3 linked regions of the Macaca mulatta genome follow. The protein of the gene in region 1 purifies or fractionates together with the protein of each later gene. This does not show direct contact. Links are inferred from orthologs where the notes say so. Each region holds a gene or a part of one and is shown on either strand. Other genes may lie near its edges. The genes, in order: CSNK1A1L, FAM83D and FAM83H.

The links.
Region 2: the proteins of CSNK1A1L (region 1) and FAM83D purify together in Homo sapiens (affinity purification with mass spectrometry; 3 studies listed by BioGRID and IntAct, with this or other methods). This does not show direct contact. The link is inferred for Macaca mulatta from reciprocal best matches to the Homo sapiens genes CSNK1A1L and FAM83D.
Region 3: the proteins of CSNK1A1L (region 1) and FAM83H purify together in Homo sapiens (affinity purification with mass spectrometry; 3 studies listed by BioGRID and IntAct, with this or other methods). This does not show direct contact. The link is inferred for Macaca mulatta from reciprocal best matches to the Homo sapiens genes CSNK1A1L and FAM83H.

What each region holds. Positions count from the first base shown.
Region 1 is NC_133422.1:16,704,570-16,714,530, reverse strand, and holds CSNK1A1L (casein kinase I), read left to right. Parts: upstream 1-4,857; 5' UTR 4,858-5,267; coding exon 5,268-6,281; 3' UTR 6,282-7,265; downstream 7,266-9,961. UniProt on the Homo sapiens protein: Casein kinases are operationally defined by their preferential utilization of acidic proteins such as caseins as substrates. It can phosphorylate a large number of proteins. Participates in Wnt signaling.
Region 2 is NC_133415.1:91,794,488-91,804,677, reverse strand, and holds the start of FAM83D (protein FAM83D), read right to left. Parts: upstream 6,417-10,190; 5' UTR 6,377-6,416; coding exon 5,714-6,376; intron 1-5,713.
Region 3 is NC_133413.1:154,095,387-154,105,452, reverse strand, and holds the start of FAM83H (protein FAM83H), read left to right. Parts: upstream 1-4,929; 5' UTR 4,930-5,127; intron 5,128-5,839; exon of another isoform or gene 5,840-5,980; intron 5,981-8,189; 5' UTR 8,190-8,204; coding exon 8,205-8,651; intron 8,652-9,465; coding exon 9,466-9,630; intron 9,631-9,697; coding exon 9,698-9,822; intron 9,823-10,018; coding exon 10,019-10,066. UniProt on the Homo sapiens protein: May play a major role in the structural organization and calcification of developing enamel. May play a role in keratin cytoskeleton disassembly by recruiting CSNK1A1 to keratin filaments. Thereby, it may regulate epithelial cell migration.

The sequences.
Region 1 (9,961 bases):
TTATCAGAAAAAAATTAAAACATACAATGTTTTATCATGAAGGTAAATAGTAAGACATGTTCTAAATTGTCTAACTGGTTGCCATTATTATTAGTATTTTGTTTTGTAGACAACAATTATATGCAAAATAAAATGTTCATCCAATCTCAATGCAATATTGGCCCTTGTCTAGACAGTGTTTTTATGAGGAGTTACATTATCTAATATTTAAATTATTCAAGTTCCTTAAAATGTAAGGATTCCAAAAGCTGGTATTAAATAATAATTCATTATTTAGAAACTCCTTTATCTCAAAAATACATCTTTTCTGACAGATCATTAGGACTACTGTTTCTAAAAAAAAAAAAAAAAAAAACAGGATGCTAGACATGTACTGTTAGAAAGAGTGTATGATGATTGGATAAAATTAAATATCTCTGTGAACATAACTATAAGGAACCAGATTGAGACTTGAAAAATAAATATATTTGACTGCAGAACCCAGAGTTATAAAAAATATTTGTACTCTGCTGGAGATGCTCTCTCTTAGACAAAATTGTCAAAAAGGAACTTCACCGGGATTAAGTGCAAGCCTGTGTATGCACATTCAGGATGCACTAAACTGTAGTTCAGCCAATCCTTTTATTTTCCAATCCATTGTTCACCCTAATCACAGTCAAACTAATCACAAGATGAATCCATAAGATAATTAAAGCAACCTAAATTAATGGATCATTTATACTCAGACTCATTCATTTTAAGCATCTGACATAATTACAATTTACAGCTTTCTCTTTGTATTAGAGGGGATAGCTGTTAGAACTTAAGCACAATTAGCTGAAAGGAACTGGAAGATGCAATAAGTGTGATATTATGTTATGAACTGTTTTCATGTAATTTTTCTGATCTTTAAATAAAGTAACAAAGTTAATGAATGTGTTCACATAATGATCTGCCAACAACTTGAATGGTCTTAATAAAGTGACAATCTGCAAGAAAAAGCAAAAGAGGTTACACAACTCCTTACTGCTCTGGAAGGAAGTCTAGAAAGGTGCCAAAATTGCAATAATTTCATGGGAACCAAACAAAAAAAGTAATGATTTTTAAGGCTAAAATTGCACCCTACATTCTCAATATAGTAAAATTGGTATTTAAAAGTGTTTTCTTTTTTCCAGATATTGCAAGTTCCAAAATGAGTGAACAGAAAGATGCAGAGCCATGTAGAAAATATTCTGTCATGAAGAAAACTCCAGCACATTACAATGATGCCCTCTGCTGTGGTTTTTGATACTACACCAAATAGCCTCATTTCCAATATGTCTCATTGTCTTTGCAGTGCCAATATTTCCAGAAAACTTTGAGGAAAAAATGACTTAAATCCTTCTATAAAGTTAGTGATCTCCAGGATCTTTTAAAAACTGAAGTGATTGATTCTGGGTAATGTTATTCTGAACATAGTGTTTGAGCCACATAAACTTCAGTAAATCCCTTAGTGACAGCATTATTTATTTAAGAACATATTTTCACTTATTTTGTATTCTATTTAAATAGTTCCAAAAGGAGATGATATTCACGCCAAATGGTTTCTGTAATGACAACTGCTGACCCAATTTGACAGCCAAAAAAAATTTTTTTTTTACTTAGAAATTTTTGTGTCTCAAATGACCTTTCTACTAAAGTGTCTCCATTTCCTGGGAAAGGACATCAAGAAGCCCAGAAAATTAACCCCAAAATTCATATGAGACTAAAACCAATGCCATTTGAGTATCATTTCTTAATTGCCAAAAGCAGATGTGGACTTACAGGGAAGTGAATAAAGCCTCCTTTGCAAGGTCCCTTCTAAGTGTTAGGAGTGGACAGGAGTTCTGAAGTATTTCACGTGGGGAGGAGAAGTCAGATTGCATTGTGGGAACATTTCTACATAAGAATTTCTGGTCAATTGCATCAAGATAGCTTAGGGGATAAAAAAAGAGACTTGAACCTCTAACAGTCAAGCAAATTGTAATGATTTCTTTTCCTAAGTTAAATATTTCATGCCTGTTTTTTGTTGCTGTTGTTATCGTTGTTGTTTTTCTTAAAGAGGGCCACAAAAAAAATTGTATAAAGTTCAGGACCGACAAAACCTGAATTGGCTGTTAGTACAATACTACCCAGTACAATCCTGCCCAGAATACGTTATTTTATTTTTACTGGAGTCATCTTGTATTAATAGAAATTATTTTAGAGGCAATTGTGAAACCAAGGCTAAATCATAGCTTTAAAATGCATTGGTAAAATACTTTACACAATTAAGGGAAAGAAAGAGAACTAATATATTCCCAACAGTGAAGCCACCCAGCGTTCAGGGGCCTCTAGCTGTTGATATCTATGTAGGGGTTACAAGTACTGGCTTTGGAGCCAGCCTGGATTTCCATTCTGAATCCATCATTCCCTATCTATTCCACCTTTGGTGAGTCACTCATGCCCTGCAAATAGGAGGCATTCAGTAACTATTTGTTGAGTGAATGAATAAATAATGCATCAATCCCACACACTGTCCAGAAAACTTTATCAAATACAGTAGTTCAATTTACTTCCATTTTATAAACTATTTGTTGCCCATCTTTTAGGGAAAAATATTGGACAAAAGGGTGGGAAGGGATGCAAGAGTTTAAGCAAAGTGTTGTTTGGGTTTAAAAAAGAGTATTTAAATTTGGTTAAGGAGATTGGAAAAAGTTTCATGGAGCAAACAGCATTTAGGGAAGAGTCCTGAGATTATTAGGATTAGACCTGGGCGATGTGAAAGATAAAGCAGACTGGAAGCATTTCAGGCTGAGGAAGCAACACCATAAGCCAAGACCCAAAGATGGAAAAAAAATGCAAGGAGTATGTGTTCGGGGAAAAATCAGCAGCCCCACTGGCTTGTGGTAAGAGAATTCATGGGAGACTGGATTGGAAGCTATTCAGGGTCATATCACCACTTCAGTCATTGATCCTCCCCACTCTGGAGATGCTCACAACTTCCCTGTAAGTGAAGGTTCATCCAACCACCATTATAAGTTACACTTTACTTTCTTTGTAGACACTGCCTTTATTTAACTGATACAAAGAAGTATGGGACTTAGTAAACAATTAATAAATTATAATTAAACTCTTCTTGTTCCAGTATTGAAAGGGGATTTTTTTAATTCAAGCTTTTGTCCAAGTATGGGTTATCCGTATCTTTTTTGAATAGCGACTTCTTTCACACAGAGATCATTTGAATTTCAAGGTTCATGTTGAAGCTATTGACTGGAAGACTGAAAGGGAAGGAAGCGTAATGGGCACTGGGTTAACAACATAAATTTTGTTCTAGATTATTAGAAAGGAAATTGTTCTCCAGGCAAATTTCGACAAAGTTGGATGAGTAAATGAAAGAAATGCCATTCTAGTTGGTACCGTATAAAAAGTAACTGCCTTGGGCCAGACTTCAGTTTCAAATTGGCCTCCAACACTTACCTGTAGTGTGGTCTTGGGCAATTCATCTAACCTCTCTATGCCTTAATTTCCACTTGTATAAAATGAGAAGTACAATCACAATAATAAAATATGCCAGCAGTATACTGTATTACTATCCACCTGTGGGAGGAGTATGTATTTTCACCCCACTGTCTTTGGACCTGGCCATGTGATGTGTTTTGCCCAGTGGAATGTGACATTTGCCACTCCTTTTATTATGAGAACAGCATGCTCCTAAGGAGGCTGCTCTTTCAGCCCGCATTCTAGAACAAAGAGGACACAGGAAGCAGAGATGCAGCTGATCTACAGCTTACATAAAACCTGAATGATAAATAAACTTTGTCATTGTAAGTCACTGAGATTTGCGAGTTGTTCCTGCTGCAAAGCCAAGTAATACACTGTGCCACCCACCTCACATATTTGTCTTAAGCGAACTTTAAAAATGTTTTAAAGCACTCTATAATGTTCTGTGCCCGTCTATGTCTCAAAGCAGCTCCTTCTCTCGCCATAGATTGATGCAGGTCAGAAAAGTTAGAAACAGCACTAATTTATGTGAGACAGTAAAGTGGGAATACCTACTTTCAAAGCTGCACCTCCCTCTCCTGCCCTTCTGCCATTGGTCCCCAAATTCGTTGCTACTGCCCCGTTAGGATTATACTCAGTTCCTATCCCATATCCTCATAAAACAAAATAATCGCACAGGTTTTGTTATTTGTGATGTGAACTGTCATAAAAATATTGAAATGGTACCGCTTTTTCTGCTAGTGTTGGCCCCAATTCTTTCGAGAAAATGCTCAGAACTGCCGGCGTCTGTTTCTTCTCTCTATTTTGGTTAAATTTTACTTGAATCCTTCATTTAGTCAGTTTTGCCAGAACTTCTCTGTGGAATCTTATTTAAATTCAAAGCACTCTATGAAAAAATTTCAAAAAGATCGCTTAAAAAACACACACACACACATTTCAATTTAACTAGCAGTAAGTAACTCTTGTTGACCAAACTCAATAAACAAGCAACCACTGAGACTGCAGAGAAAAAGCCCAAGGGGTGGCACCCCAATTGGCATTAACCCAGGGAGACATGATGGCTAGGGAAGTAGGTGGGACAATGACTGGGCCCGAAAACAAGAATATCTTTGTTATAAAAGCCTCCCATTTCTGCACAATTAAGTTGAAAGGAGGTGAGCTTCGAGTTACATAAGCCTAGGCAGTTTTGAATTCCAGCTGGCCCACAATCTCTTGCAACCTTAGGCCGCTTACCTGAGACTTAGCCTTTCTTACCCAACGAATCAGGGAAAATAACAGCTATCTTACAAGACTAGCAAGTTCGTGTTAAATGGAACAAGATGAGTGGAACACCTAACAGAGGACTCAAACATTAATAGTGTCTCCAAAAATTCTCGATTTGTGGTTGGCTGAGGCGGAGGAACAAGATGGCGGCGCCAGCGGCGTGACCGGGCCCTCGGGCCCACAGCCGTTGGCAGCGGTGGCAGTGGTATCGCTGCCGCAACTCGCTGTGCCCCCTTTCTCAGCCCGCGACGTCGCCGCGACAGCGAGGCAGCGACCGCCACCCAGAAAGAGGTGGTGGCCCAGCCTGGCAACCTTGAGAAGCCCTCGAAAACTGTGGCCTGGCGGAAACCCTGGTGTGCTCTGGGGATCAGGCTGACTCCAGGCCCTGTAACACCGGGAGAGGCCTCGGTGGCCATTTCCAGCAGCCCTCACCCTCAGCCTTGTGGGGCTGGCGGGCCCCGGAGGCCTCCATCCTCCCCTAGAGGGGTCAGGGCAGAGCCCAGCCTCCATCTTTGCCTCTCAGGATGGCAAACAACAGCGGCTCCAAGGCCGAACTCGTTGTGGGAGGGAAATACAAACTGGTGCGGAAGATCGGGTCTGGCTCCTTCGGAGACGTTTATCTGGGGATCACCACCACCAACGGCGAGGAAGTAGCAGTGAAGCTGGAATCTCAGAAGGCCAAGCACCCCCAGTTGTTATATGAGAGCAAACTCTACACGATTCTTCAAGGTGGGGTTGGCATCCCCCACATGCACTGGTATGGTCAGGAAAAAGACAGCAATGTGCTAGTCATGGACCTTCTGGGACCCAGCCTCGAAGACCTCTTTAATTTCTGTTCAAGAAGGTTCACCATGAAAACTGTACTTATGTTAGCCGACCAGATGATCAGCAGAATTGAATACGTGCATACAAAGAATTTTCTACACCGAGACATTAAACCAGATAACTTCCTGATGGGTACTGGGCGCCACTGTAACAAGTTGTTCCTTATTGATTTTGGTTTGGCCAAAAAGTACAGAGACAACAGGACCAGGCAACACATACCGTACAGAGAAGATAAACACCTCATTGGCACTGTCCGATATGCCAGCATCAATGCACATCTTGGTATTGAGCAGAGCCGCCGAGATGACATGGAATCCTTAGGCTACGTTTTCATGTATTTTAATAGAACCAGCCTGCCGTGGCAAGGACTAAAGGCTATAACAAAAAAACAAAAATATGAAAAAATTAGTGAGAAGAAGATGTCCACCCCTGTTGAAGTTTTATGTAAGGGGTTTCCTGCAGAATTCGCCATGTACTTGAACTACTGTCGTGGGCTGCGCTTTGAGGAAGTCCCAGATTACATGTATCTGAGGCAGCTATTCCGCATTCTTTTCAGGACCCTGAACCACCAATATGACTACACATTTGATTGGACGATGTTAAAGCAGAAAGCAGCACAGCAGGCAGCCTCTTCCAGTGGGCAGGGTCAGCAGGCCCAAACCCAGACAGGCAAGCAAACTGAAAAAAACAAGAATAATGTGAAAGAAAACTAAGCATGAATGAGGAACAGAAGAAGCAGAGCAGATGATTCGAGCAGCATTTGTTTCTCCCCACATCTAGAAATTGTAGTTCATATGCACACTAGCTAGTGGCTGTGGACAACCATTTACTTGGTGTAAAAAACTTTATTTCAATATAAACTGACTCTGGGGAGCGTGGGTGATGCTGTATCCCAAGGTGTGTAGCCGCTGTAATTGTGAATATTAACTGAGGTAGTGAAACATGGTGTCTGGTTTTCTATTGCATTTATTCAAGTAGAAAAATTAACTAAATGGTTGACACACACGAATTGGTGGAGACATTGTCCATATGCCAATTTTTTTGTTAAAACCTTTTATTTTGAACTAGACTGCTTTGATATCTCATTTCAGAAGAACAGTCTTCAGCCACAGCTGTAAAGGTTGTAAATGCTTACCATTGAGCATTTTTAGGGTTTCTCCATCCCTGGGGTCTGCAAATTGTTCACACAAAAAGCATTCTTAAAATGGTTGGCTTCTTGTTTGCAAGCCAGCTGATCTGGTAACAAACAAAAATTCCAGTTTTGAGAATAGGAAAGATACTGCCTGCTTACCTGCAAAGACATAAGAAAATCTTAGTAACTACCAGATAATCTTTAGAATTCCACACTAACTTTATCATGTTTTCGGTATTATAAAAACGACAACAACAACCATATTTGTCACAGAAATTTAGTTAACATCTTACAACTGAACATGTATGTGCATTGTTTAGATAAATGTAATCACTGTAAACACCTATGTGATCTGGGATTTTGTTCATATTTTGAAATGGGAGCTTTTATGTTTTACAAGTTCACTTAAAACCGTTTCTGTAAGAAAATGATACTTTTTTAAACAACAACCAAAAAATGCCTTGCTGATTCACTAGGAAATAAAAATCTCCCCAATTTTTTGATAGTCAACTTAAAGTCATTTGTTACATGATATTCCTTTGCAAGTAAATTTTATTTCATGACATAAGTTTTTTCAATGTTTTTATTCTAAAATAATTGTTTTGTATGAAGAGAAATGTATTCTTTCATTTTTCTTTTTCTAATGACTTGTGGTACAGTATCTAGTACTGCAACTGTCAGAACTTGGTATTGTTACTTCTTCCACTGACTAATAGCTGGGCTGATTTCAAAAAAGAATGCAAGCATTGAAGGGTTTGACTATAAAACATTGTTGTTTAAAATACTTGTGAAATGGCTATAAACAGTTGACTTTTACCCTTGGAGAGCACACTGTGTGAGGTTCTGTGATCATTGACTCTCCCTAACCCCCATCTGTTTCTCTGAATTATGTGTGTGTGTATGCGCTTCCTCTCAATCTCTTTGCACCTTCTTTTTTTTTCTCTGACGCAAGATAAAGGAAAACTCATTTTCCTTTTAATTCTTTAAATAGTGTAATTTATTCACTTATAGCATGTCAGGATAAATTAAAAGAACTTTTGTCTGAAAATGCTGCCAGGAGCCTATTGTGTAAATGTAGGCATTTTGTAAAATAACCTTGAAATTGAAAATTGCCACATGTTTGGTCAGATTGTATCAGGTTTCATTTTTTTTTTTTTTTTCATTTGAAAACTACTTCAGCAATAATTAATTCCATGATTACCGCATTCTGCCATTAAGGGATATATTAGTACTATAATACTGAAGAAATCTTAGTAAGTCCAAATGTTGGGGGTAGGAAGCTTCTTTGTTTCCTTCTATCCACCCTTGTTAGTTAAGGTATTTGTTTCTTAGCTATTAAGCCCTTTCCAGAAATCAGTCTCATAAAGCTATTTTTGAGTATAGTTTATATAAAAGAAAAATATTTAACTTTGGTAGTAACTTTTCCAAGCTTACCTCCCCCAGCAAGATATTTTTCAGTGCTTTTATTCAGTATGTACTTATTCTGAAATATTTTTGTATTCTTGCCATTTGAAAAGGTTGTGGCATAGTTGTTGTATAATGAAGTTGCAGATTTAAAACTACTGTTAGCTTTGTAAAACAAAATATAGGTGTTTTTCTCCCGGTATATCATCATTCCATTTTTCTTCTAGATACCATTCAATGTCTTCACAGTTCATAAAAGAAGAATGTGAAATGCAGTGAATGCTGTTACTAGTCATGCCAAGAGATGAATCTCATTTCACAAAAATTACATTATGTTTTTCCACTAAAGGGTGATATAAGTTGAAGACACATCACTGTGATATTGGGAGACCTCACCCCTTAAGGCTCCACAGTGGCTTCCTCAGCCGAATTCTAAGTTACTGCTCTTTACTTTGTTCACCCATTGGAGAGTGCAGTTTTTTTACACGTTGGGAGATGGCCATTCTAACTACTGTTCAATGTCTCTGTTTTGGGGAGGGTAAAACAAGAAAATTTTAAAAAGAGTATACGTGTCTGGGCACAGTGGCTCACGCCTGTAATCTCAGCACTTTGGGAGGCCGAGGCAGATGAACCAGCTGAGGTCAGGAGTTTGAGACAAGCCTGGGCAGCATGGTGAAACCTCATCTCTACTAAAAAATACAAAAAGTAGCCATGCGTGGTGGTGGATGCCTTGTAGTCCCAGCTACTCATCAGGCTGAGGCAGGAGAATCGCTTGAACCTGAGAGACAGAGGTTGCAGTGAGCCGAGATCGCACCACTGCACTCCAGCCTGGGTGACAGAGCAAGACTGTCAAAAAGACAAAAAAAGAGAGTAGACATGAAGGGAGACACTGGTTATCCTACCATATGGATGTGCTTATGCTTTGATGGTCTACAAATAGATATTTGGAGGTTTACCTTTACTATGATTTTTCCACCAACAAATATTTTTATTAAGAGATTTTCCTAATTCCATTATAATAAAAATATCAAACAAAAGAAGTTTTTTTTTTTTTAAAAAAAAAAACGTCTTCTTGGATTCTTTGTCATTAACCTTCTTCCATTGGGAACCTACTGTCGAGTAACAAAAGGAACTATATTCTGCCACATGAAGACAAAAGACAATAATATATTTTGTATTCTAAAGCCAAAAGCTTAAAAGAAACAGCATGCACACATTTATATGTATGTACTTTTTTCCTTGACATATTTATAGCTTCTCATAGGTCACACACATTAAAAAGTAGCACACATCTGAACTGTGCAGAAGTAAAATCACACATATTCCGAATAAAGTACATCTTCAGTTCTGTATTTCTCTGTCCTCCAACTTTGAAATCCCTAGGAACTACAAAAACAGGGAGAGAAAAAGAGAGCCCCCCACCCATCAAGAGGTCATATTGAATGATTCCAAGGGATAGTGGAAGCCTGTACTGAATCCAGGTTTTTAAACTGCCAAGTTTTTAACTCCTGGCTGCAGTTCCCAACATATGACATAATTTAGAAACTTGATTTAGGCACAGGAGAATCACAGGACTTAAACACTATGTCCCTTAGCATGTAAAATATTTATGGAAAATCCAGGCAAGTAATAAGCTGTAAAGAAACTAAAAGGAAAAAATTTTGAAAAATGGCAGCTATAGTATTTTAAATCAAAAAGGGAAAAAGAAGAAATGATGGCCATTTTATTAATGGGTAAGTTGAGTGGAACCTCTTTGGGTCCTTCACAGCCTTTCTATTCTTCCACCATCTTCTAACATCTATGATTCCTTGGGGCCATTACGAGACCCACCAGGAGGATGGAGCAGCTGAGGATGGT
Region 2 (10,190 bases), on another chromosome or scaffold:
TCCTGGTGGTACCAGCTTTGCCTCTGAACTCCCATTCAACAAACTGGAATAGCCGGACAGCCAATTCATAAGCACATTGCCAAAATGACACTACATAGCCCTTCCAGGCAAGGGGCCACAGCCCAGCCAAATCCCAGTTCACATAGCAACAGAGGCAAAAAGCTGAATGAGTCATCAATAGATACAGTGGTAGAGGGGTGGACCTAGAGCAAGTACATGGGGAAAATATCCTGCATAGTTCAAGATTATCCAAAAACTTCCTTAGGAAGCAAACATATGGGTTCTCAAAAGGTTCAAAGCAGTATTTCCTCCAGTTTTGGTGAAGCTCGCCTAAGCACCTGGTAAGCAGCCAGCTTGTATTCAAGCCATGCTACACATAATTGTGTTTTTATTTATTTTTTAGAAACAGGGTCTTGCTCTGTCACCTAAGCTGGAGTGCAGTGGCATGATCATAGCTTACTATAGCCTCCAACTCCTGGGCTCAAGTAATCCTCCTGCCTCAGCCTCCTGAGTAGCTGGAACTACAGGCACATGCCACCACACCCAGCTAATTTTTTAACTTTTTGTAGAGACGGGATCTCACTATGTTGCCCAGACTGGTCTCAAACTCCTGACCTCAAGTAATCCTCCAGCCTTGACCTCCCAAAACACTGGGATTACAGGCATGAGCCACCACGCATGGCCAAACCATTTGTTTTTAAACACTGTATCTCATTTAGTGTGGCAGAATGCCCACACTTTGAAAGGTATATAGAAACAGTGTCAAGGAAGGGGATGGCAGATTCACAACCCCCAGGCACAGCCACCCAGGGACAAATACTTGCTGAGTAGAAAGGCAGACAGAATCACCTGAACTACTTTTCTTCTTACCTCCCACTCCCTTTCCCCCACCCTTTATTTCTCCTTAAAGCATGTAGCTGAATGAGCAAAGCTGCACATAATAGGCCCCTACAGTATTTACTGAGCACCTTTTATGTATCAGACACACTGAGTGATTCTGTGTGGTCAGAGAGCTGCTGGATAAAGCCTATGCCAGAACCAGCCATTTAGGCTGCAAAGCCAGGATTAGGCCCTGCCATTTACCAAGTAACCCTGGCTTCCTGTGCCTATACTCTGGTCAAGGAGCTTCATATTCTGGCTTCTTCCAGAGACATTCCTGAAGATGCAAGGTGGTCCCCAGACCACCTTAGTGAGGGCAAATAAAGCTGCACGGGGCAAACGCTGAGCTCTGACCCTGCTCTACTGCAGCCTGGCCCCAACCTCTGGGGTTAAGTGGGACCGTTCACGTGGCATTCAAAGTTCCTTCATTCACCCACCAAAAGGTTCCCATAGATCCCTCTGCTCCAGGTACCAGAAGTATCTATCTGGCTCCATCTTTCCCAGGGAGAGGAAAACGCACTCTAGTTTACAAAACCTAAACCCAGAGACCTATATTCTTCTGGCATCATTAACCACCTTCCCCACTTGATGGGTGGAGGAGGTTCTCTGCCAGCCTTAATGCCTCCTCCTCTAAAAACTGACCACCTCGTTTTCTTCCTGAAAAGGACAGGTCTAGTCACTGTCATTTTCCTGTTCATAGAATACGCAACATGGAAATTAAAAAGTCCCAATCTTCAACTGTTACAAACCTTCAGCCTGTTGAAAACTAACAAAGCTCCAATCCTTCCTCATGGCAGGGAGGCTGTGTGCTGTAGGGATTAGGAGTGTGGGCTTCAGTGGTCAGGCACCGTGGCTCACGCCTGTAATCCCAGCACTTTGGGAGGCTGAGGCGGGCGGATCACAAGGTCAAGACCAGCCTGGCCAAGATGATGAAACCCCGTCTCTACTAAAAATACAAAAATTAGTAGCAGGCGCCTGTAATCCCAGCTACTTGGGAGGCTGAGGTAGGAGAATCGCTTGAACCCGGGAGGCAGAGGTTACAGTGAGCCGAGACTATGCCACTGCACTCCAGCCTGGGCAACAAGAGCAACTCTGTCTCAAAAAAAAAAAAAAAAAAAAAACACCCTACAAAATTTAGCTGGGCTTGGTGGTGTGCTCCTGTAATCCCAGCTGCTCGGGAGGCTGAGTCAGGAGAATCACTTGAATCCAGGAGGTGGAGGTTGCAGTGAGCTGAAATCATGCCACTGCACTCCAGCGTGGGTGACAGAGCAAGACTGTCTTTAAAAAAATAAATAACAACAACAACGAAAAAAAACATGTGCGCTTCAGAGCCGGAACTAGACAGACTTGGGCTTGAGCCCAGCTCTGTCCCATGCTAACTGTGTGATCTTGGGCAAGTTACTTAACTTCTCTGTGCCTGGTCTTTTCTTAATTGTGGCCTCCTCACAGGGTTTGAAGAGTTAAATGAGGTAATTCAGGTCAAGGGTTTAGCACAGAAACTGACCCATTCTAAATGCTCAATCATATCACCATTAGGTACCTTTGCCATCAGAACACGGATGCAGAACAGCTTCTCATTTCATCCTGAAAGCAGCCTAAGACCTACACCTTTATGATCCTCGCTGTCACAGGTACTAGACTTCAAAGGATGTGGTCAAGGTGACACAGCCACTCCCTTGTTCACAATGCATGCCCTTAAACAGTGGTAGCACTTAGCCAACCACCAGATCTGCTCTCTGTCACCTCTCCCCACCCGAGCACAGGCTCCTGAATCCTCCACAGCGAGTGTGGTTGTTAACAGTGGTTCAGACATTCTGTGCCTCAATTTGAGTACAGGGTCCTTCATTCTCTAGCTGCATGACTCTGGGGCTACTTAACTTCTCTATGCCCCAGTTCTATCAGCTGTAAAATGAAGATGATAATCGCACCTTCCTTGGGATTACTTAGAACAGTGCCTGGCAAATAGAAAGCATTACTTTTTTTTTTTTTTAAAGAGACAGGGTCTCCCCACGTTGCCCAGGCTGGAGCACAGTAGCCATTCACAGCATGGTCATAGTGCACTACAGCCTCGAATTCCTAGACTCAACCGATCCTCCTGCCTCAGCCTCCTGAGTAGCTGGGACTACAGGCACATGATACCATGCCTGGCTTTTTTTTTTTTTTTTTTTTTTCAACAAAAGAGCGTCTGGGACCTCAAATTCAGCACTGTCTCAAACCCAACTCATTTCAGCATCCCTTACCCCAGCTTCCTCTCCTACCACTAACCCGCTATGGGGAATTTGGCTGCCCCCAAACATTCCAGTTCCTTAAACACTTGTGGGCCAGCCCCCATACCCTAGGTCTGGCAAGCCCAACCCAGCTGTGAGGTCACTGCCACTCCACAGACTTTCTTTCTTCAGCCCTTTCCGCAGTACCTGTAGCAGACTCCTCACTGCTTCCCATCAGCACACTGTCTACCCTCAAGTGTTGGCAAGGTTGATGCCTTCTCCTGTGGCCCCAGGCCTGGTAGTGTCTGATACACAGCAGGCAATGAGTAAGCAAATAATTTGGCATCTATTCGACCTACTGAAAATACTCATTGGATTTTTTTTTTTCCCAAGACGGAGTCGTGCTCTGTCGCCCAGAGCTGGAGTCCAATGGCGCAATCTCGGCTCACTGCAACCTCCACCTCCCAGGTTCAAGCAATTCTCCTGCCTCAGCCTCCCGAGTAACTAGGATTATAGGTGCGTGCCACCACGCCCTGCTAATTTTTGTATTTTTAGTAGAGATGGGGTTTCACCATGTTGGCCAGACTGGTCTCGAACTGCTGACCTCGTGATCCGTCCACCTCAGCCTCCCCAAGTGCTGGGATTACAGGCTTGACCACCGTATCCAGCCAATACTCATCGGATTTAAAGGTAACTTTCTCAGTTTAAACTGCCCACGTTCCAAATATAGCATCTCAGAGGGAACTGTGGGTAGCTAGACTAGGGCAGCAGGTTCTATCTGGAAATGTCAGTATTACAAAACGCCCATGGGATGAGGGAGAGTCTGAGCTCCCGGCTCCATCCCCTCCTCAGGCCAGCACGTGAGTTTAATTTCCCTCTGGCCTCTGGTTCCAGTGCCCCTTTGCTATCACTAAAATTTTGAGATGGGCAAAAGACTAGAACAATCCACAGCTCTCACTATATAGACCAGTTCTTTACATTTTTCAGGTTCCAAGTGCTCAAGTTCTACTGGAGGTGAGCTTTGGGAACGCATACCTACACAAGTCTGCCTTTTCCATCTTTTTAATCTTCTCACTGAACCCGCAAGGAAAATGTCTACTGCATCAAAAAACCCTCAGCCCACCTAAAGCACCTCAGGGCTGGTAAAAGCCTAGCTGCAGCCCACAACCACTCCCTCAAAAGCAAGGCACTAGGTCACTGTATCCACTACCACTGCAACCCCACCATTCAGGGAAAGAATATTAAGAACATTGGTGAGAATTGGGGCTTGGACTTGGACATGTCAACCTGACAATGCACTGGTATCTTCACCCACAGTCAGACACACTCATGTACCAGCCCTCGCAAGTCTTACCATGGCTGGGGCTTTATCTGCCATGTCCCTGGCACAGGCAGACAGCCAGGAAGCCGGGCACTGCCAGTCAGCAAGCAACCTGACCATGGTTCCAGACCAAGGTGTCTGCCACCATACTGTTCTGCCACACCCACATGCAGGCTGCCTTCTTCCTCCTTGATCCCCAACACCCTGCTGCAGCTTCATTGAGGCTGGCAAGCAGACAAGACCTCCACTGCGCCCATGACCATGCCATACTGAGTCAGACAGTAGGACCAAAACAGAAGCCGATCTAATGCAAATGTATCTGCATTTTAGGAGACCACTGCAATCTGGCACAGACCCAGCCTATGGAAAACTCCTTGCCCCTTTCATTCACAACGGCAAATTTCCCCTCCAGTCTCTGGCAGTAGAAAAAGCGGCAGGGGGCCGGGCGCAGTGGCTCACGCCTTAATCCTAGCACTTTGGGAGGCCGAGGAGGGTGGATCACCTGAGGTCAGGAGTTCGAGACCAGCTTGGCCAACATGGCGAAACCCTGTCTCTACTAAAAATACAAAAACTAGCCGGGAGTGGTGGCAGGCGCCTGTAATCCGAGCTACTTGGGAGGCTGAGGCAGGAGAATCACTTGAACCCGGGGACGGAGGTTGCGGTGAACTGAGTTCCCACCACTTCACTCCAGCCTGGGCAAAAGAGTGAGACTCTGTCTCAAAGAAAAAAAAAAAAAAAAGACAAGAAAGAAAAAGCGGCAGGGGTCTCACTTTGCCACTTGTGTTTATCTGCTTTTTACAACATAAGATGCGTGAAAGTAATTAGCAATAATAATTGATTCCTAATGCCCCGTAGTTGTCTCTGGAGACCACCTTCCTGGAACTTTCCCTAGGTAAGTTCTTTGGTAATGAGTCTCCTAAGAAGCTCCTGAAAGTGGGATGTAGCGTTGGCTGACAGCCAGGGAAATCGGCAATTTTCCAAGTTTGATTTCAACTGAAATTTGGAGCTGGGAGTACTTCTGGTCCCTCCTTCAGGGATATGAACGTTAGGAGATGGAACCCGGACACAATTCTTATCCTTGGGAACCGAGGCTTCCCCACTATCCCCTGCCACCAGGAGCGGCCCGGGGGATCCGGGGAAGACACGCAGAGTGGGGTGTGAGTCGGGGACCCCGGGACCCCGTGGCCCGCGCTTCCGGTAGGGAGCTGAGGAGGTAGTCGCCCCGGCCTGTGCTCCCCGCAGGCCTCAATTTCCCATTCTTGAAGGGGGTCTCCCGTGCGACCCAGAGCCCGGGAGGGCCGCTCACCTCTCGCGCCGAGCGGAGCTGCTGGCGCAGAGCGTCCTTGCAGCCGTAGGGGCCGCCCTCGCCCGTGCCGCGGGGCTGGAAGTGGGCCTCGACGCGCGTGGCGCCGCGGTAGGCGCCCTGGTAGAAGGCGGGCCAGCCGAGCTCCAGCAGCGGCGGCTCCAGGTCCGACTGCTCGGGGAAGTAGGTGCCAGACGAGCAGTCATGCGAGGAGCCGAACGAGTCCTCGGCCGCCGCCGCCGCGCCCTCCTCTCCTGGCCTCTCCGCCGCGCGCAGGATGGCGTGCACCTCATCGGGGTTCAGGAAGCGAGCCAGGCGCTCGCGTCGCAGGAAGGCCGCGAAGGCTTCGGGGCCGCCGGCCACCAGCTCCTCCAGAGCCAGGCGCCGTGACTCGCTGAACAGCTCGGCCGGGTTGGGCGGCCCGCACGGAGACAGGCAGGCAGCCGGCAGTTCGTCCAGGCCCTCGCACAGCAGAGCCATAGCGGCACTCGGACGCGACAGCCCTCGGACAAGAACCAGCCTGCAGGCCCACTTTATAGGCAACCTTTGAATCAAACAGGCCCGCGCCATTGGCCGCACCTCCCCGCCTCGACTCTCCCATTGGCTGCATTCCTTCCAATAGCGGAGCGAGGCGGGGCGCAAGCCTCTACGGTTCCGCCCCCTCATGCGTTATTGGCTGCGATGCTGGGGTTGCTAAGCCGAATTTAAACTTGCAGGGGCGAGGCGGGCCGCAGAGCAGGGACAGAGCGGGGAGAGCCGGGCTCCTGGCCATCCCAGGGCGCCCCCTGCCGGCCGCCCCCCAGTGCGGCCCTACAAGGCCAGGGACAGTCAGGCCTAGGCAGTGAGGAGAGGCAGGTGCCGGCTCCCAGACACGTTGGCCACGCTGCTCCTAGGCTCTCAGAGCTTTGGTATGGCCAAACATATCGTCTTTATCCCCTGCCTTTAACCACGTATTCATTCATTAAAAAAATACCGGCTCATCATATTAGGACCGCTCCTTTGCTTACACCCTCGGGTAGTCTTCTCTCATTTCATCAGTTTTTGCCTTGTAAAACTCCAACCAACCCTGGTTGTATCCTACTTTGCACCTGCACCCCGGCAGCCCTACAGGGCTGGAGAAAAAAACAAAAAGAGCATAACCATGCTTACTGACTGGTCATGTTTTACATTCATAATCTGTAAGACTACCTGCTAGGAGGCCGGGCGCGCAGTGGCTCACGCCTGTAGTCCCAGCATTTTAGGAGGCCTAGGAGGGCGGATCACCTGAAGTCAGGAGTTTGAGACCAGCCTGACCAACACGGTGAAACCCCGTCTCTACTAAAAATACGAAAATTAGCCGGGCATCTTGATGTACGCCTGTAATCCCAGATGCTCGGGAGGCTGAGGCAGGAGAATCACTTGAATGCGGGGAGAGGAGGTTGCAGTGAGTCCAGATCACACCACTGCACTCCAGCCTGGGCGACAAGAGCGAAACTCCATCAAAAACAAAACAAAACAAAACAAAACAAAAAAACTGCCTGGTAGGCCACATTTCCCTCATTCTCTCTACCTTTTCCTCTCTGACAGCTTGCCTCCTATGTCACCGAGAACACAGAAGCAGTGAGAAGGGAACGTCCACGTGCGCCCATCTAGTCTACCTTCCTGTCTCCATCGCTGCCCATATACTGGGCATTGATGAACTGCGCCTGTGCCCATCCAACCCCAACCCCTCTGCCTGGGCACTTCCAGCCCCTCTACTACTCACCAGCATCACTCCAGCAACCTTCTTCTTTCTCCTGGAACATCAGCTTCCCTCTTTACTGATTCATTTCTATCAACCTACACGCATGCTGAAATATTTTTCGTCTTAAAACAACCCTCTTTTGACTCTACATTCCTCTAAAGCTCCCCATCTCTCTTCTTACTTTTGCAGCATAAAATCTCAGATGTGGCTGGCCATGGTGACTTGCACCTGTAATCCCAGCACTGTGGGAGGCCAAGGGAAGAGGATCACTTGAGCCCAGGAGTTTGAGACCAGCCTGGGCAACATAGTGAGATCCTGTCTCTACAAAAAAATACAAAAGTCAGCTGGGCATGGTGGTGCGCCTAACTCTTAGTGCATGGCAGTGCTCCTGTTGGTCCCAGCCACTGGGAAGGCTGAGGCAAGGGATCAGTTAAGCCCAGGAGTTTGAGGCTGTAGTGAATTATGATCACACCACTGCACTCCAGCCTGGGTGACAGAGTAAGACCCTGTCTCAAAAAAAAAAAGAAAAGAAAAGAAAAAGAAACCCTCAAACCAGTTGTCTATACCTGCTGTCTCCAGTTCCTTTCCAGCCCTCTTCAATCAGGCTAAAACCCTCACTTCTTTACCAAAACCTCTTGTCAGGTTCATCATGAGTTCCACAGAGCTAAATCCAACAATCAATTTTCAGTCCTCATCTTTCTTATGTAAATGAAAAGTGCGTCATAAATGTGAGAGGTTGCTATTATTATTTAGTAACCAATAACCTTTTTAAATGGATGAATGCCTGCGGCTATTCAGACGCCTCTCCCTCTCTTCCCCTGCTCTCCTCATCCCTTTGTGAAGTTTCTCAACAATAAGTGTGGGGCCTTCCATGTGTCCCTGCTCTGGTATCCAGTGTCTGGGAGGCTATAAGAGAGCACCTTTTTTTCTTTTTTCTTTTTTTTTTTTTGAGATGGAGTCTTGCCCTGTCACCCAGGCTGGAGTGCAATGGTGTGATCTCGGCTCACTGCAACCTCTGCCTCCCAGGTTCAAACGATTCTCCTGCCTCAGCCTCCAGAGTAGCTGGGATTACAGGCTCGTGCCACCACGCCCGGCTAATTTTCTGCATCTTTAGTAGAGACGGGGTTTCACCACATTGGCCAGGCTGGTCTCGAACTCCTCACCTTGTGATCCAACACCCTTTTCATCCTCTTTAAAGAAAAACACCAACAAAGTTCTGTGTGGGACAAGGACCAAGGATTGTGGTCTGAGGCTGTGCAACCACATAGCTTCTGTATGGCTGTAATGCTTGAGGTAAAAAATGAGAATGGCCAGGGCCTTAGCTGCTGTATTGCTGTCATAAGGTGAAGTACTTTATAGTATTATACTTCCCCACAATAAGCACACGAGGGGAAAGAGTGGAATAGGGCAGGGGGAAGAAGACAGGACACATCAGTGTACTCCAAGAATGGGACAGAGGAGAGGGGCACCCTTGTCATGAGACAAATGTCATGAGAGGCCAGGTGCGGTGGTTCACACCTATAATCCCAGCACTTTGGGAGGTCAAGGCGGGCAGATCACTTGAGGTCAGGAGTTGGAGACCAGCCTGGCCAGCATGGTGAAACTCTGTCTCGATTAAAAATACAAAAAATTAGCTGGACATCATGACAAGCGCCTGTAATCTCAGCTACTTGGGAGGCTGAGGCCGGAGAACCGCTGGAACCCGGGAGGCAGAGATTGCAGTGAGCCAAGATCGCGCCACTGCACTCCAGCCTGGGTGAAAGAGTGAGACTCCGTCTTAAAAAAATAAAAATAAATAAATAAATATCAGGAAAAACTTTGAAAATGTATGGAATAAATATATGCAACTCTAGGGCCTCATGTTAATTTCAAAGAGAATATTTGACAGAATGAAGGTCATTCCCAACCACCAGTTTTTTCTTGAATTCATCAGTTTTCACCATCTCCCAGTCTGGAGAGACATCTGCTCCAGGTCTGAGCCCCCAAAGCTCCCTCTACTTCAGGGGCCTCATGGGAAAGCCCTCTGTGGGGAAGGGGTGGGGTAAGGGGGAAGAGACTAGAAGCCCTCACCCACCCTCTATTCCAGAAACCTCCTCTTTGTGAATTCAAGTCAGCACTGTTCAAGTGAGCTCACAGCAATAACCACTCACACTAGCAGGTGTTATTAAAAGGAATTTAATAATTTTAATTAAAAATTCTTAACAGCGAATTCCGTCACAGGCCTTGGCATCTGGAAGCAACTCCAGGGACATGTGCCCCCTTTGGGATGTGGCTGACCCACGGTTTTGGACCCGAGGCCCACCGGTGCCGCGTGGCGAGGGGCTACCTGGAAGTTACTTCAATACGATATCAAAGATCCGCGAAGATTTTTTTAAAAAAAGTTTTAAATATATTAGACTCTCTTGATTGCCATTTTTACACAAAGCTGCTGATACAGTATACAGAGTTTTAACTTTTTTTTTTCACATAAAATACATTTTTTAAAGTGTTCTCTGTACATCAGTGGCTTCTGGTCTGGTGAATTATTGCGGAGGGCTGGGGGTCTGCAGACTTTTCCTGGGTGTGCAGAGCCAGGCCCCGCACGGTGGCACTTGCAATGCCCATGGGAAGCGGGCCCTCTGGCCAACAAGAGAGTCCTGTCGGGGAGAGGGCTATAGCTTCTGGCACAGGGGGTCACTTTTGCAGAGTCATCCACTGACCATTGGACCCTTTGCTCTTATGTGCCCTGGGGCAGGGGAGACCATCCCCAAGTTACAA
Region 3 (10,066 bases), on another chromosome or scaffold:
TGGTCAGCTGGGCTCAGGTTATCTGTGGCCAGGGAGGGTCTGGGCCCTGAGGGTCAGTGCGGCCAGGATGCAGTTCCCTCAACCAGCTGTGGGACTGGGGGAGCTGGGGTGAGGCGGGAGCGGGGGGCATTGGTGCCGCCCAGGGCAGGACCAGGCACGCCCGTTGCTGTGCACAGCCGGCGCTCTGGCTGCGGCGCTGCCTCCTCCAGCTTCTCAGCCTCCCTCCCAGTCTCGCCAGCAGGGCCTGCGGCCTGTAAAACCCCGTGCCGCCGTGTCAGCGCGTTAGTCAGCCTCAGCCCAGGCGAGCCACCACGCCGCGGAGTCCCTATAAACTCCCTGGTGTGGCCCAGCCCCACCGAGTGGGGTCAGTGAGGCCCACAGGCAGAGCCAGAGTCCCGAGCTGCGGTGCTGCGGGCACCAGCCAAGGGGCAGGACCTGGAACAGGGGGCCGAGCCTGGCGTGGGAGCACACAGCCACTGTGGCCTCCAGGGACGCCCTCTGAGCTGGCCTGAGGCCGGCCAGTCGATGAGCCAGGGCCCCTGGGGAGCAGACACCTGGTGAAGGAGACGCTGGATCCAGGGCCATGTCTGGGAAACGAGGTCGAGTTCGCAAACACCGGGCCAGGAGGGCAGGCAGGGCCCAGCCGGCAGCTGGGCAGCAGGGCCCTGAGGTCGAGCCCCCGCCCCTCACCCCAGGGGGCCCTCAGGGTGATGCGGGGGTGGCCCCTACAGGGCACGTGACCAGCATCGAGCCAGCACCTCAGGGACACCCCAGGGTGGCCAGGCCAGAGCAGCCACAGGCAGCCTCGAGGCCGGTGCCGGCTGCTGCTCCAGGGTCTGAGCTGGTGCTGGTTCTCACTGGGCACATGGAAGGCTGTGGAGCAGGGGGCCCCATGCCGGCCCTGGGACCTGAACTGCTGAGGCTCCATGAGGTCCAGCTTTGCCTGGCCCAGGAGCAGCTGCTGCTGGAGGACCGGTGGAGGCAGGTCCAGCTGCAGATGCAGCTGTGGCGGGAGGAGCAGCTGTGGCTGCAGCAGCTACAGGAGGAGCAGCTGTGGCTGCAGCAGCTGCAGGAGGAGCAGGCCTGGGTGCACGTGGAGGGGCTGCAGCTGGCCATGGCCCTGGAGCAGCTCCGGAGTGAGGGCCTCGAAGCACTGCAGACCCAAGGCCAGGTAAGGCCTGGATGGGGTGGTGGGGAGGGGATCCCGGACCCTTGTGTTGGTGCGGTGGCCACTCCAGCAACCTAGGGATGCCTGTGGAGGGCCAGGAAGCCAGGCTGGATGCAGGGCATCTGTGGGCCCATTTTCACATATGCCAAGTGAAGCCCGTGCCCGCCACGCAGGGCACTGCAAGACCAAGGGACAGCAAGCCTGCCTAGGCTGGCCCAACGCTTGGTGGAAGTGGGCACTGAGGGCAGATACTTGTTCAGGGACAGAGGTGTCCCTGCAGCAGACCCAGGTATGCTGGGCCAGAGCTGTCCAGGGCAGTGTATGGGCTGCGGTGCAGGGCGAAGGCCTGGGGGTGCAGTCAGTAGGTAGCAGAACTGAAGAGCACAGCCCCCACCCACGCAACCCAGTTTCCTGGCCGGCAGGTCCGCCTGCCCTGCCCCGTTTATTGGAGTGCAGTGTACTCAGGGCTAGAGACTGCGGAAGCAGCATGCGGCGCCTGTGCCCATTATCCTCATTCCAGGAGGGCTGCTGGCCTCAGACGCAGCTGGGGCTATTTTGGGGAACTAGGATCTAACCCCAGCCTGGTGTGGAGGAGTGGTCACCATCATCCCACCTGCTCCTGTGAATCTGGGAGCTCTCTGGCATCCAGGGGTGTTAGGCCAGGCCCACTCTAAGCAGAGGGGCAGTCTGGGGAGCAGTCTGGGATACTCTCTTAGTAATCACAGACCCCAGCGCAGGCCTGGGTGCTGAAGGACCCCAGATCTGCAGCCTGGAATGTGTTCACAGCCAGCACAGAGAATAAATGGGAGTTGGGGCAAGGGAGTGACAACAGTGAAGGCGGGGTCGGGGGGGATCTGGGGGAAGTCCCCTTCCCGACCCACAGGAAAACCCAGCCCAGGTGAGTTGTCACCATCCAACCTGGAAGTGACTACGGAGAAGGTGACTGGGAGCAAAGCGGCAGGCAGAGGGCAGCACAGGACGGCCAGATGGAGCAGAGTCAGAGCAGAACACATATTTAGACTGAGAATCCCCAACTTGGACTCAAGCCCTCCTGTTTCAAAACCCATTTTTGGCCACCTAGGCCCCTCCCACTGGCTCCTGCCCCCTTCCCATCCCCCAAAACTGGGCTTCTCTGAGCGCTACCCCCAGGCCCCCATCCCAACCCCAGGCGTATAAGATTAAGGCTGGGCCAGGCACGGTGGCTGAAGCCTGTAATCCCAGCACTTTGGGAGGCTGAGGTGGGCGGATCACCTGAGGTCAGGAATTCGAGACTAGCCTGGCCAACATGGCGAAACCCCTCTCTACTAAAACAAAAATACGAAAATTAGCAGGGCGTGGTGGCACACATCCATAATCCCAGCTACTCAGGAGGCCGAAGCAGAAGAATCACTTGAACCCAGGAGGTGGAGGTTGCACTGAGTCGGGATTGTACTCGACTGGGCGACAAGAGCGAGACTCCGTCTCAAAAAAAAAAAAAAAAAAGATTCAGACTCAAGGCCCGAGATGAATGAATGAACCCTCTGTCAGTCACACCTAATCCCAACTCAGAGATCCCCTGAGAGCCACTCTTGGAAGAAGGGCTCTCCTCAGAGGGGGTGTCTCTCAGTGGTTACACAGAAGGTCTCACAGGTCCGTGTTTGGGTGACAGTGCCCTGGAGGTCAGAGGGTGCACTCACCAGCAGTGGCTCTCGGCTTGGGCCCAGGGTGGAGCGTCTGCCACTTCCCAGCTGCAGCTTTGGGTCCCCCCTTCTTACTGTGCATTCTCCTGGGGGATGGGTAGGGAAGGACCAGGGAGGGGGTGCTCAGAGTGGCAGAGGGCAGGGACAGCGGCAGTGGGGAACAGGGCACACCACGGGGGCCTGAGTGGATAACAGCAGGAACATGGGCTTCCCCCAAGGCTTCCCAGCTGGTGTCCTGTCTGCCTGCCCGCCCCAGGTGTGTGCCCAGAAGCTTGAGCCGGGATGCCTGGCAAGAGCACTTGGCCACATCCCATCCCCCCGGCTGTGGCTTGCCTGCTCCTCCACCCCAGGCTCAGCTCATCCCGCCAGGCCAAGGATCTGGAGTCCAGCACTCTTCTCACTGCCCCAAGGTGCTGGGTTGCCAGTGGGACGGTCTTTGTTCTCACCATAAGCATGAGCACGGCCCTCTCTGCTGAAGCCTCCATGCCTCTCCACTGCCCTGGGAACCCAGCCCACCCGTGAGCCTGCTCCCCAGCCCACCCAAGGCACTCACCCCTCCACGCCCTCAGACCCTATGTGGTCCCGGCCTTGGCAGATGGTGTTGTCAGGTCCTGGAGTAATACCCCTCTCCCTAGTCCACACAGCTGACCCCCAAGTTCATTTCCCTGGGAGGCTCCTCCTGCCTGCTTTGGCCTGTCGGGGTCCTCCCTGGTGCCCCATGCCCCTCACCCGCTACAGCACAGTTGCCTGGGCACTGGTCTGACCCCCCACCCATGTTTCCAGCATACTGGTACCAGTGGGGTGTCACTGAGTGTCTGGGGAAAGAACAAATGAAACTGGGAGTGACCCTGAAAACAGAAAATAGGATCACATGGCAAGAGGGACAAACAGAAAGGTGACTGATACCATCAGAAAGCGTTCAGGCAGGGCCAGTCCTTGGGGTGGGAGTGGCAGGGGTGAAGGGTGGTGGTTTGGACAGGTAATCCAGTGCAGGGCAGGGCCTAAGTGGGGGGAGAGGCCCTAAGTGAGGGCCTGAGGGGGATTTGGGGGTTCTGGAGCACCCAGGGGCAGCTCGGGGTAGTGTGTGGGGTTGCTGTGTTCATGCGGGGGCGTCTGGTATGTGAGGCTTGGTGTGCACACTGGGTCCCTTGTCCGTGTTGGGGCTTGGTTTTCGCGGGGTCCCCGAGTGTACACCCAGGGTTCTATATGTGTGAGGGAGGTCCCCTGGTCTCTCAGAGTCAGTGTGAATATGGCATCCCTGTTTGTGTGTGGGATCGGTGTCTGAGGGCTCTCATATGCAGGTGGGGTTCCCTACGTGTGCGGACGTCAGCGTGTTTGTGGGTGACTGAAGTGGATAGGACTGGGTGTTCTTGTTGGGTTCTGTCTTCCTGAGGAGTCTCCTGTGCTTGGGGGGTTGGTGCACACGAGGGACAGGTCATTCGGGGTCCGCATGTGCATTGGGGGTCACTGCAGCAGAGTCCCCTACAAGTGTGGGCATGGATGTGAAGGGATGAGGGAGAAAGATGGGGAACCCCAGGTACTTGTGGGCATCAGTGTGTGTGTGTGGTGGGGGTCGGGGCCTGGGGGTCCTCTGTTGGGCGGGATCCCCTCTACGTGTGGGACGCTGGTGCGGTGGGAGACCGGTGTGTGGTGAATGGATCCCCTGTGCTTTCGGGGCTCCCAGACCCGGCCCCGCCCGGGGCTCGACGCCGCCCCAGCGCCCTCACCTGCCGCACCTGCCTTCACCAACTCGGCGAGGAGGTCAGAGCTCCGCCCCTTGCGTCGGGCTGGCTTGTTTCCTAGCGACTGAGCCGGAACTTCCGAGTCACCCCAACTTCCGGGGCGAGGGTCAGGGGTCAGGCTAGGAACTTTGAGCCTGGGGTCAACAGTTGGGCTCCTGGGGGTCGAGGCCTTTGAAGTGGGGGCCTCACGGTCTCCGGCGGCGCTGGGCCGGGGTTTCTGGGCACGTGGCCGCAGGGCACGGGCGAGTCGGGGCGGAGGGTCGGGGCGCGGGCCGGGGGCGCGGTCCGGGGCGGGCGGCGGGGCCGCGGCGGGCGCGGGGCGCAGGAATGCGGGCGCGCCGCGGGTGGGGCCGCTCCGCCCCCAGGTGCTGCCCGGGCAGGCAGGAGGCAGGAGCGACGGGCGGGGCGGGGGCGGGCGCGTGAATCAGGCCGGGCGGGCCGCGGCAGGGAGTGGCTGCCGGACCGACCGGACCGCGAGGCCGCTGGGCGGCGGTCGGCTCCTGCTGCCCCTGTGCCGAGACCCCGCGCACCTGGCCAGGTAGGGCCCCCCTCCCCCGGCCCGGGCGGGGCGAGGCGGGGGCGGGCGCCCCTCGGTGCGGTCCCACCTGGGCTACCCTCGCGCCCGCACCTGGGCCGGGGCCGCGCGACCCAGAGAGGGGAGGTGGGAGTGGAGCGCGGCCGCGTGCGCGGGGCCGGGGCGGCGGGTCAGCTCGGACAGGGGGCGCCGCTGTGCGGATATGGACGCGAGCGCCCTCGCACGACGGCAGCCCGAGAAGAGCCGAGTGGGAAGCGGCCCGGGATCTGGGTCGAGCCTGCCTGGCCGTCCCGACTCGCTGCTGCCCTCGCGGCCTAGCTGGAGTCTGGGTGCTGGGCACGGCCTGGACCCTTCCCTGGGGACGCCCGCCCGGGCCACCGTGGACTGGGGTGGCCAGGGTGCGGCCTGGATCCCCGCCTGGCAAGCAGGGCGAGTGACGGGAGGGCTGCCCGTAGCGCCCATGTTCCAGGGCTGGGGTGGGTGGATGGGGCACCCAGCCGCCGCAGCCGCGAGCTCGCAGGGTGCACTGACCCCGTTGGGGGCTGGGGTGCCCACCCCGCAAGCTATCACTGAGCGACTTCCGGTCTGTGAGCCCTGTCCTCCGCACCCCACCTTTCCGCCTCCTAGAGCCTCCGCGCCCTCCTGGGCCCATCGGAACTTGGCACAGGCTCACCCCACTTTGTGTAGGAACTCCGGATCCTTCCATGGGGTCCTCCTTCCAGATACTCAGGAACCCCACTTCCTGCCAGGGTGGAGAGGATGGGGTCCTTGAAGGCCAGCTGAGGGCCCTGACTTCGAGTCAGAGGTCAGGGGTCAGCAGCAGAAGAGTGGATTCGTGCTGAGTCATTGGCCATGGGTGGGTTCCGTGCCCTACCTCCCTTGGGCAAGCGTTTGGTAGGCAAATGTGTGGGCATGCAGGCCACTGGGGTGCTCCATCTCAGGCTTGGGAGTGTCTGCGGCCCCGTCCATAGCCCAGCAGACACGTACCCATGAAAGGACACGATGTGAGGAATGAAGCCATTGGAGGTCTGGGCATCACCCTGTGATGATGAGGGGTGTCTGCTGGGAGGGCTCCTGGCAACGGGGGATTCCACAGTCCAGATGATCCCTGCCCCCATTACACACAGCCTGGAGCCTGGATGCTGTGTGGATATCCCTCCCCTGTGAAATCCTAAGGGACAGTGGGGGTCCTTTCTAGAGTGTCCCCCAGCGTCGGGAAGTGCCCTCAAACAAGGTTAGCAGGGTTGTTCCCCCTGCCCTGTATGGTCAGACACCGCCCCTACAGCCAGGCTGGCAGTGGTGAGTGGGCGCCCCGGCCCAGCCAGACAGGCCTACACCTCACCCCCATGTGGTTGGCCTCGATCTGCCCTAACGAGCCCCATATGTCAACCATGAGGACAATGCCCCAACAAAGAAATGTTGGGACAGCTTCTCCCAGGCCAGTTGGCATCTGGGGCTGTTGAGTGGCACCAGGTATTTCCCATGTCCCAACTCCATGTCACCCCCGGGGGTACCAGGCAGGACGGCGGCCTCCTGACCCCAACATTCTCAGCCTAGTGGCTCCGGTTAGCACCCGTGCAGTCCAGCTGGCCAGCGCCCATCCTGTCAGTGCCCCAGGGCACACTCCTCTGTCTGGGCTGAACCACCTTCCCAGCCAGGGCCAACATTCGGGAACCTGTGTGCTAGGCGGGGATAGGTGTCCTGCCTCCCTCCCCAACCCGAGGAGCAGTGGGATGGGCTGAGCGGTCCCTAGGGCTCTCCTTCCAGGGAGAGGTACCCAGGTAGCTCGGTGACCCCAGGCGTGGGCCCTGGGTGCGCCCCATCTGACCTTTCTGGAGAGGCCAGGCACCCTGCAGGGACCCTTTGGAGAACAGATTGGGCTGTGGGGCAGCCAAGTATGGATGATGGTGGGGAGCCCAGGACCTGGAAAGGTCCCTGCTGCCCTGGACGGGGGGCTGGTGGCAACAGGACTCTGAGCAAGTGGAGAGCCAGATCTGGGCGATATGGAGTGCAGGCCCTGCAGGGCCCTGTGGGCACCAAGGGGTTGTGGTCCAGGGAGGTGTTATCTGAGAAGGACAGTGACAAGAAAGGTCAAGGGAAGGAGGGGGACTGGTAGACAGAGACAGAGTCTAGGGGTCAGTGTTGCAAGGCTGGGCAGTCATAGAATGGGCTGTGGGAACCCAATTGTGAAACCCTGGGGATGGGGAGGAGGTGTCGCCCGGGGCTATGCGTAGGGCTTAGGGTTGCCATTCCAGGAGGAGGGTGGTCACAGCCCTGTTTGCTGCGCTCACCTTGGCTAGGCACGGTGTCTTGTGGACCCTCAGCTGTGTTGTGCAGTAGAGGTAGGCCAGAGAGGTGCAGTGACCTACCCACGGTTTCCCAGGCAGTCAGGGACAGACACATGCCAGCATGGGTGGCACCAGCTTATCCAGTAGGCACAGTGCCAGGGGCCTGTGAATGTCTTAAGAAAAAAGTGAATACTATAATGATGAATACAGCCTGGATTATGTTTGTCTTTAAGCCAACAGTCATAAAATGTTTTGGGGGGCGGTTGGTTTTATTTTCATTTTTTGTAGCGATGCAGTCTCTATCACCCAGGCAGGAGTGCAGCGTCACAATCATAACTCATAGCAGCCTCCAACTCCTGGGCTCAAACAATCCTTGTCTCAGCTTCCCAAGTGGCTGGGACTGCATGCGCACGCCACCATGCCTGCCTGATGTTTAAAATTTTTTGTAGAGATGGGGTCTTGCTGTGTTGCTCAGGCTGGTTTCAAACTCTTGGCTTCAAGCGGTTGTCCTGCCTCAGCCTCCCAGAGGAAGGAGAGACAAGGCTGGGATACCTGTGCCCCACCCTCTACCAGTATCCCCTCAGCTTGGGGTGTCCCTCAGTCTGGGTTGCCCTCTGTGAGCCTGGCTCAGCTGGTGTCCTGGAAGGCCTCCTGGGCATGGGCTAAACTTCAGCCTACCCAAGTCACTGACAGCCCCTTCCACAGTGTGTCCATTCTAGAGGGTAGGAGTGGTCCCAGTGCCCCCACCCCTAGTCATGTGTCTCCCTGCCCCTCCAGACCCCTGGCCCCAACATGGCCCGTCGCTCCCAGAGCTCCTCGCAGGGGGACAACCCACTGGCACCCGGGTACCTGCCGCCTCACTACAAAGAGTACTACCGCCTGGCGGTGGATGCACTGGCCGAGGGTGGCTCGGAGGCCTACAGCCGCTTCCTGGCGACTGAGGGGGCACCAGACTTCCTGTGCCCTGAAGAGCTGGAACATGTGAGCCGACACCTTCGGCCTCCACAGTATGTTACCCGAGAGCCACCCGAAGGCAGCCTTCTCGACGTGGACATGGATGGCTCCTCAGGTACATACTGGCCAGTGAACTCAGACCAGGCCGTGCCTGAGCTTGACCTGGGCTGGCCTCTGACCTTCGGCTTCCAGGGCACCGAGGTGACCACCTTGGTGCAGCCACCGCCCCCCGACAGCCCCAGCATCAAGGATGAGGCCCGCAGGATGATCCGTTCCGCCCAGCAGGTGCGCCATCTTGGGCTCAAGGGTAGTGGGGAGGGGCCAGGGCTAGAGGCACCAGGGTGGAGGAGACGCATGAGCACGATCAGCTTGGGTGAACCCTGAGCTCCAGCTGGAGCGGGGGTTCCTGGCAACAATCTTCAGGGCCGCCAGGTCTCGATCATCAGGGGCTACAGGCTCTGCACGGGTCTGCTTGCCCATGGTCATGGCCAGTGCCCAGAAATTCAGGGGCTCTGAGATGGGTGGGCACCGCCCCAGCCTGGGTTGATTGTTCAGATAATTACCTCTCATCCTGCCCGGTGGCCCTTGGCCAGCTGAGGGCTTCTAACCCTCACCAAACAGCTAGCAGACGGTGCAGGGTGCATCAGGTCCAGACGCTAAAGGCCCATGACTTTCTCCCCTGCCCATGGCAGCAACCCTGTCCCAGGGCAGAACTGGAGCCTGGGACTCAGCCCTGACAGCTGTCCTGGAGTGGGGGCAGCTCAGCCGTCTGTAGGGTGGAGGGGATTTTGAGGTGCCCTTGCCATGCCCCCAGCGGGGCCCCATACCCCAACCTGGCCCACCCTCGTCCAGGGTTCTCTGCCCTGCACCTGCCTCGGCTCCCTCCTCATGGCCAGCCACTCCACACCTCTTCTCCTTCTGGTCCTGTGGTCCCTTCCTCCTACCCATCTTCCAGACGCAGCCCCACTCCCAGGGATGGACTAGCTTGTTTCACAGTGGTTGTGGGTGATCCAGACGCCTCCTGGGCGTGGTGGGGAGGCTGGACAATAGTGTGGGGACAGCAGGGGCCTCTCCTCTCTGTCCTGACCCGCCCCTGCAGGTGGTGGCCGTGGTGATGGACATGTTCACTGATGTGGACCTGCTCAGCGAAGTGCTGGAGGCCGCCGCCCGTCGGGTCCCAGTCTACATCCTGCTGGATGAGATGAACGCGCAGCACTTCCTGGACATGGCCGACAAGTGCCGTGTCAACCTGCACCACGTGGATGTGAGTTCCCGGGAGTGGGAGATTGGGGAGGACCCGCGGCAGAGATCTGACTCCCCTCCCTCCCCAGTTCCTGCGGGTACGGACTGTGGCGGGCCCCACCTACTACTGCCGCACTGGGAAGTCCTTCAAGGGCCACGTCAAGGAGAAGTTCCTGCTGGTGGACTGTGCCGTGGTGATGAGTGGGAGCTACAGGTGCGCCCGCGAGCTTCCCTCACCCCCTTCTCTGGGGCCTCCTCCTGTAGCCCCAGCACCCCCTTTCCACACCAGGGCCCTCCTTGCCAGGAGCCCTTGTCCTGTATCCCTGCGTCCTCCCCGCCCCACCCGATGCCCACGGGGCTGCAGTGCCCTCGCTCCAGCTCAGTTTGACTCTGGCCCTGACCCCCCACAGCTTCATGTGGTCCTTTGAGAAGATCCACCGCAGCCTGGCACACGTGTT